Arabidopsis thaliana: one gene and its partner. The protein of the gene in region 1 interacts with the protein of each later gene in a pairwise test. Each region holds a gene or a part of one and is shown on either strand. Other genes may lie near its edges.

The links. The genes of interacting proteins can lie anywhere in the genome.
Region 2: the proteins of GATA19 (region 1) and ARR6 interact in a two-hybrid assay, tested with the Arabidopsis thaliana proteins (one large-scale study listed by BioGRID).

Annotation. Positions count from the first base shown.
Region 1 is NC_003075.7:17,268,261-17,272,017, forward strand, and holds GATA19 (GATA transcription factor 19), read right to left. Parts: upstream 1,740-3,757; 5' UTR 1,403-1,739; coding exon 1,115-1,402; intron 994-1,114; coding exon 646-993; 3' UTR 429-645; downstream 1-428. UniProt on the Arabidopsis thaliana protein: Transcriptional regulator that specifically binds 5'-GATA-3' or 5'-GAT-3' motifs within gene promoters.
Region 2 is NC_003076.8:25,252,458-25,256,214, forward strand, and holds the start of ARR6 (response regulator 6), read right to left. Parts: upstream 1,862-3,757; 5' UTR 1,702-1,861; coding exon 1,551-1,701; intron 1,468-1,550; coding exon 1,391-1,467; intron 1,312-1,390; coding exon 1,234-1,311; intron 1,146-1,233; coding exon 1,075-1,145; intron 472-1,074; coding exon 288-471; 3' UTR 1-287. Other genes in the region: AT5G62930 (SGNH hydrolase-type esterase superfamily protein), read left to right, coding at 2,377-2,631, 3,043-3,183, 3,275-3,351, 3,451-3,615, 3,732-3,757. UniProt on the Arabidopsis thaliana protein: Functions as a response regulator involved in His-to-Asp phosphorelay signal transduction system. Phosphorylation of the Asp residue in the receiver domain activates the ability of the protein to promote the transcription of target genes.

The DNA.
Region 1 (3,757 bases):
GAAAAAGATAAATATTCTTCACATGCAGTTGGCAGCAACAGTTTTAAGCAGAGCAGCACACGAAGACCTAATTGATGGTCAAATTTCCAAGACAATTTGGGCAAAACACGACAAACATTCAGCTTGGCCACCCTGCAGATATTTGTTGGCTTAATTTTCAAATTCGGTCCAAGTATTTGATTATTTCAATTTGGAAAAGAAACTCACAAATTAAACGTTTAAGATATAAGTATTTGTGAAGATAGTATCTGCATCCCAAAATATTCACATTCTCCGTACAAAAACCCAAAGATGCTTTAAAAAGAAATTAAAGGAATGAATATGTATTCTGTATATGTATAGTATATCACTGAATCGTGGTCAAAGTAGGACACACATCATGTAAAGGTTATAAAGTCACGAATTATTAGTTCATTACCCGAGAGAACATTTTAAAAGTCATGCAAGGAAAACACAAGTAGCATCCATCATACGAATTATAAATTTAAGAAAAACACTTACACAGAGACCAAAAAAAGACATTAAATATTTATATTTAAAGGAAAGTAAAATAAAGAATTTAACGAAGGCTAAGACTTTTCTTTTTTGTTAAAAGGTATCCAAGGCTAAGACTTATAAGGGGAATATCTATGAAATGATCACTCATCACATCGTAAAATCGTGGACAAGGCCGGTCCGGTCGGCGACGTTAAGCCTCCAAGACAAGAACGGGTCGGTTGTGACGTCATGATCAACAACTCTGACATCATCAACGTATGAGTATTCGTTATTGGCCGGCGAGTAATATGGAACTCTCTGCGTATTATGCTGATGGTGCCAAGGCGACGATGAAGCATATTGGTTATTATTGTTATAATAATAATTTGCACTTGCTTGATGATCCAAAGTTGGAACTCCAGCTGCAGTTGATCCTCCGCCGGAGGTCGAGTTTCTGGCGGTCGATGCACGTCTCTCTTCTTTCTTGAATCGGATTCCACACGCATTACACAACGACTGACCAAATTAAAAATCATATAAAGTTATTATCAATATTTGTTTTGTTGTACAGAGAGAAATATTAGTCCCACATCAAGAAATGATAAAATATTTGATGTAAAGGTTACATATTAAATACCTTGGGACCTCTTGGACCGTTTCTCCAAAGAGGAGTAGAAGTGGTGTCGCAGTTGGCGCAACGGCGAGCGAGGAGGTTATGTCCGCCGCCTCCACCGCCTTTCTTGGAACCGTTCAAGAAGTCCCAGCCTATGGTGTCGGAGGTATGAGACGAGAATCTACGTTCATCATCCTCGTTGCAGAGGCGAGTGGAGGGAGTTCCAAGTGAGAGAGTGCAGTCAACAGAAGCATATGGAGAGGAATGATGGCTGACGTCGTTTTCGGGGGAGAAGAACATTGAGAAACCCATCACTATATATGAACTTGGAAACCCTAGAAAGTTGATATTAAAATATATAGAGAGAAGGAGAAAGAGAAGTGTGTGTTGTGTGTGGTGTTTATGAGATGAATAAGTTCTCTAAGGAAACGGTGAAAGAAGAGTCAGCCAAAACAAAGAAAGAGTCCACGTTGCTGTTGTGAAATGGAGACAAGAAGTATTTATAGAGAATTTGGGAACTTGGCAAAAGAGGAAAATTTGGTCCCGGTCTTATTATGTGTGTATGATTAATCTATGCTTTATTCTTTTGTTCTTTAGATTTACATGTGAATTTGCTCCTTTAGTTTGTCTACAAAGATGTTGCAATGAATATTCTAAATATGTGTTGGTTTTTGTTCAGTTCTAAGCGATTTTTAATAACAAAACGTTTTAACCTAACAAAATTAATTAATGATACTGCTCCGAATCTAGATTATTATGCAAATTCATTGCATACCGTATAATATTCCACGACCAAGTACCAAGTGAGTAGTCTTGTTTAACAATGCTAAGCAAACTACAGTGTTTTGATATATTATTTAAATGGTAAAGTAAGAAAATAAATGATAAGTACATCTGCAGTTAAAGCAGCAGAGAGGAAGGTAGTCAAAAAAGAGGCACGTGACTGGCAATGTCACGGTCTTCCAAGGATCTGGTCTCTCTCTGATCACGATCATCTCGAAATTAAACGCTCCTTCTCTTTCCGAATCTCTTCTTCCACACGTCATCGCTCGCTTCACCAATTCGACGTGTCATACTCTCATATATGCATGAATCCATTTTATGTTCTAAATTCAAATAGTGTGCGACACTGTTAATGTTCACCGCACTACAATTTCAGTGGCTCTCTAACGACAGTCGTAATAATACAAATAAAATGTTGTATATGACGTATAATTATGTTGTTTTTAACCTTAATCAAAAAATTTGTTTTGTATGTGATTGAATATTGTTGTTACGATTGTGGTCAAGCATGAGAGATCGTAATCGCCAAGATCGGTGCTTTTAAGGAGTTAAAAGAACAAAACTAGCCAATGTTCAAGTTATAAGTGAACTAAAAAGGAATAAAGACAAAGTGAGATACTTTGCAATGATTTTAAAGCAATTACATTGTGTTCTTTCTTTAGCTTGGTGAGAGTTATTCTATGTTTCTATTGATTTAGTCAAAGAAGCAAACTCCAACCAAAATTTAAAATTTAAAAGAAAAAGGGTACAAAGAGAATGAACCCATCAAATGAGTACACTCTGTAGCTCTAAGCTCTTATTTCTTTATCCTTTATCTTCTTTCTCTTTTTATCTAATTTTGGATCAAATAACGAAGTTACGTTATCTCCAAGAACAGATCTATGTTTTTTTTGCTTTCAAAGTAAGGTTTTGTATCAAATAATTTTAAATTTGATCGGCCGACCCATTTTTGGATCAATTATCGTAATGGGGTACGTCAAAATGTGTAACGTTTTTATACTAATTTTATAAGCTCTCAACTAAAAAAAAAAATATTAAGAATAAATAAATTGTACGTTTTATGTTTATATATACTATTATTTGAGTTTCATTATCTTATTTACCAACATTCATTTCATTTTATTACAAACATGAAATATCAACTGTGTTTTCTATAAACCTCACTCGTTCAACAAAAGGAAAACAATCAAATTGATGAGTTTTAAGAATATCAATTCAATAATCTTGTTGGAGGATGTCGTGTGCCGCCAAACACGAGTGGACAAAATGCGTGAAACGGGAAAGAGTAAAAAAGATTAAAAGAACACCAAGAGACCCAGAGAGAGAGGGAACAAAGAGAATCGGATCGGTCTTGAGATTGGTTAATTTTTGGTTCAATTGAGATACGGCGACCACCGCTTTCCCAAAAGATGCCTCTCTGTCTCTTATGCTCTTTGCTTCGTAGAACACGAAACCTAACCCTAACGATTACCCCAAGACGCAAAGTGTTCGACTTCGTAATTTCACATTACATGTCATGTCTCTTCACTCACGTGACTTCTAATCTTATTATAATCTAACTGAGCTGTTGAAGCCTGATAACGCCTAATCCAGCCCACGTTTCTTGGCCCATCATATCACCTTCATTTGGTTGAATGTTGTTAGATTTCGCACTAACATTCGTTATTTTCTTCGACAAGTCCCAATTACACAAAAATGAAAAGTCTTTATATAAACTAACAGATTTTACAACAAGAGCCAAACTGGTTTTGTCAAGAGTCAAGACCATCATTTTGAACCAAACACAAAAAACCACAGAAGAAAACACCAAAAAAGTAGCTCCAAATCTCTCTCTATAAACAGACAAACAACACGAAAGGAGCTTTTTCTTTAATTGCACTTTGG
Region 2 (3,757 bases), on another chromosome or scaffold:
TCTATTAAGCCAGCTTACAAATCTCTTGTAAGGAAAAAAGCTATGACCCCTCTAATGAATATAATATATAATATAGCTTTTGCTCATCTCTATACCATTTACATTACTACTATATGAATAAACCCACTGAATTCAATCAGCGAAAAAGGCCATAGGGGTTGGAAAATTGTATAGGTCATTAAGCTGGCGAGAATCATCAGTGTAGGCTCAAGTGCATTGAGTCTTGAAGCTTCTGTATATGAAAAGGCTTTTTCTAAGATCCAGTCACGGAATTTGCATCGGAGAGCTCAGATCTTTGCGCGTTTGAGCTGCGAGTGAACAGGGTAGACATTCTCTGTTTCTAGCTCTCTCTTCTGAATACTCTTTGTGAAAGACAAATCTTCAACCTTCATTAGAGAATCTCTTAATCTTTTTACATCCGAGAGTTTTACCGGCTTCAGTAAGAAATCTTCAGCCCCTTCTTCAAGACATCTGAATGACAAAATAATAATCACAAGAAAATCAGTTTGAGTAAACTCCAATTTCAATAAAGTTGATGATAGCTTTGGATCAATAAGTTTTTTTTTTGTTGTATATGTAGCAAACAATCATAAAATGGCCAGTTCGTAATTGAGTTGGCCATTGTGTGTAACACAAATACATATTCCTTTTTATTTTATTTGGTCTAGAGGTTTCCTAATATTGTATGCAAAGTGAAAAAGCATGTGAGGTGGCTTTCACAATACCCTACCAAATATTAGGCAAGCAAGATCATGTACTTATTTTATTGTAATATCACATCACCAGAAATAGAATCAAATCCCAAAGTAAAGATTTTGCTGGTTAGAAACATCTTTATACACAAAATCATCTTGGGACCCATTAAAGATCACCAAATCTCAACATTTGTTTAATTATGCAATATCCACCACCAAAAATGGTTTAAGGAAATTAACTTTTAACCATATGAGCAGGAACTTTACTTTGTGATCTAATCCCTTTTTGTTTTATCTAATTCTTTTTTTGATCATCTAAGACAAAGATATTCACCAAATTTACTATAGTTTGACTTAAGATTATGATGAAGTTTTATACCTATCAATACGAGGCAAAATGTTCTCGGAGGACATAATTACCACCGGTACTTCTCTAAAAGCTGAGGATTCCTGTGGAAAATCACGTAAAAAAGGATTAGATAAACATAAAACTCAAATTCCATTGACTAATTATATCATTATATGTTTGTTTGCTTACTTTGATCTTCTTCAAGAGTTCATATCCAGTCATACCGGGCATTGAGTAATCAGTCATAATTAAATTAACCTTCAAATCCTGAAGCACAAATCACGATTTAACATATTGCTTGAGAGCTACGGCAAAATTTTGTTTTCTCTTGGAAATTGTTTTATACCTCAAAACCGACTGATTTTTCCTCAACATCCAAACCAAGGTATTGGAGAGCTCTTGTTGCACTATCAACAACAGTAACTGAACAACCAAAACAGAGCTTTTTACTCAGATAACTTGCCCGAATTCAGAGACTGATTTTTCAAAATATGAGTAATAATTACCTTTGCAAGAAGATACTCTGAGCAAACGCTCGATGAATTTACGATCAACGTGACTGTCGTCGACGGCAAGAACATGAAGAGGATCCGGTGATCCAAACTTTGAAGAATGGTTGAGAATCTCCATCTTCCTCGGTAGCATAACTTCAGCCATTGATCAACGAATGTTGGAGGATTTGGAAGAAAAAGGAAGAGAAAGATATGATGTGAAACCATGGTGGCAGTGGTTGGGCCATTTATATAAGTAGAAAGAAAGAAAGAAAGAAATAAAAGAGGGAAAAAATATGAATGAAATCGAGAGATTTTGCATATCTTTAAGATTTTGTCAATTTGCTTTCAAAATCTTTATTTTATATTTTATATAAATAATAGTTCGGTGGATTTTTATTATTAAATAAGTTAAAACAAAAAACCGAAATAAAGTCAAACCAATCGGTTCAAGTTTAGTCAAAACGAAGAACAAACCAGAAAATTTGGAATGGGATGCAAGATTTAACCGACCCAAACCGATATTCAATAACTTGTAGAATTCTTTTTTTATTTTTAAATTATTTGTGTGTGTTTGTAGTTTTTTTTGGTAAAAGTGTGTTTGTAGTTGAATTGTGGAAGTTCACGCATTTAACTTCTACACTTCAATACTTCATCTACGTAGAAGTTCACTTTGAGGTTTTGACTTAAGCTCAAGACAGAAAAATGTGAAATCAAGAAATCATAAACTAATACTAAAACATTACACGCATCCTTAATCTACAATTAGTAAAACCTCTTTAGATTACCACCTTTTCATTCACCAAAAATATAACAAATTAATACTAAAGGCCCGGCCCATATGATTTGGCCCAGAAGAGACTTTAAGTTTCCTAATACAGTTAACGGTTTACTCAGTGAACCGGAGGGAGACAGCGAGATGAGGCCGGAGATAGTTCTGTTCGGCGACTCGATCACGGCGCAGTCTTTTAGGTCCGGCGGTTGGGGATCTGCTCTTGCCGACGCTTACTCTCGCAAGGCTGATGTTGTGGTTCGAGGCTACGGCGGCTACAACACCCGATGGGCTCTCTTCTTGCTTCATCACATCTTCCCTCTCGTCAGTACTTTTTATCTCTCTCTCCCTCCCTCGAGTCTACAAATGTTGATTTGAAATTTGATCTAAACACGAACGAATTTTGGTAGTCATTGGGATGATTTTGTTCATGAGCTGTTGTGATTGTGTGTATGATCTGTGTGGATATAGATCTTGAGTTATTGTCTCTTGTGCATCATTTTTTGTTTTGCTTATGCTTGTTATGGTTCAGTTCTGAATGGTTTTGATATGATTCTAGGATGTGTTGGTTTTATGACATTGTCATGGATTGGTTGAAGTACGAAAGATTTAGATTTGAATTTTGAGATGGTAAAAGGCAATTACATCTGCATATATCATGAGAACTCTTCTTGTAGTGCGTGTTGTTTTGGTGTGCCTATCTCAGTATGTGTTCTACTCTGTCTTTTTGCCTAGGGCTCTTCGTCTCCTCCTGTTGCTACGACGATATTCTTCGGTGCAAACGATGCAGCTCTCAAAGGAAGAACCAGTGATAGACAACATGTGCCGGTGGAAGAGTACACAGATAATGTCAGAAAGATTGTTCAGCATTTGAAGGTTTTGATATGCTTCTTTGATCCACTCTAATGCATGGACTTACTTTTCTTGAAGTGTGATTCCTTTAAAGACTAATGACTCTGTTTTGTAGAAATGTTCACCTACAATGCTAATTGTGCTTATAACTCCACCACCAATTGATGAAGCTGGACGTCAAAGTTATGCAGAGTAGGCTTTATTATGATCCTTTTCTTCTTTGCATTTTTGTTTCTCAAAGCATTTAGTCCGACATGTTTCTTAAATGAGCCAGTGATTGTGTTACATCAGATCAATCTACGGTGAGAAAGCTATGAAAGAGCCTGAGAGAACAAACGAAACAACAGGGGTATATGCACAACATTGTGTTGCATTGGCCGAGGAACTCGGTCTGCGATGTGTCAACTTATGGTCTAAGATGCAGGAAACCAATGATTGGCAGAAAAAGTACCTAAGGTCTGTATCTAAGTCTGATCTGAAATGTTGTTGGTTTTTCACAAACACTCATCTCCTCCTCAATCATGTTTGTTGTTTATAAATGGTTCTTGCTCGTTGTTGTTGGCTATAAGCAGTGATGGGCTCCATCTCACGCCTGAAG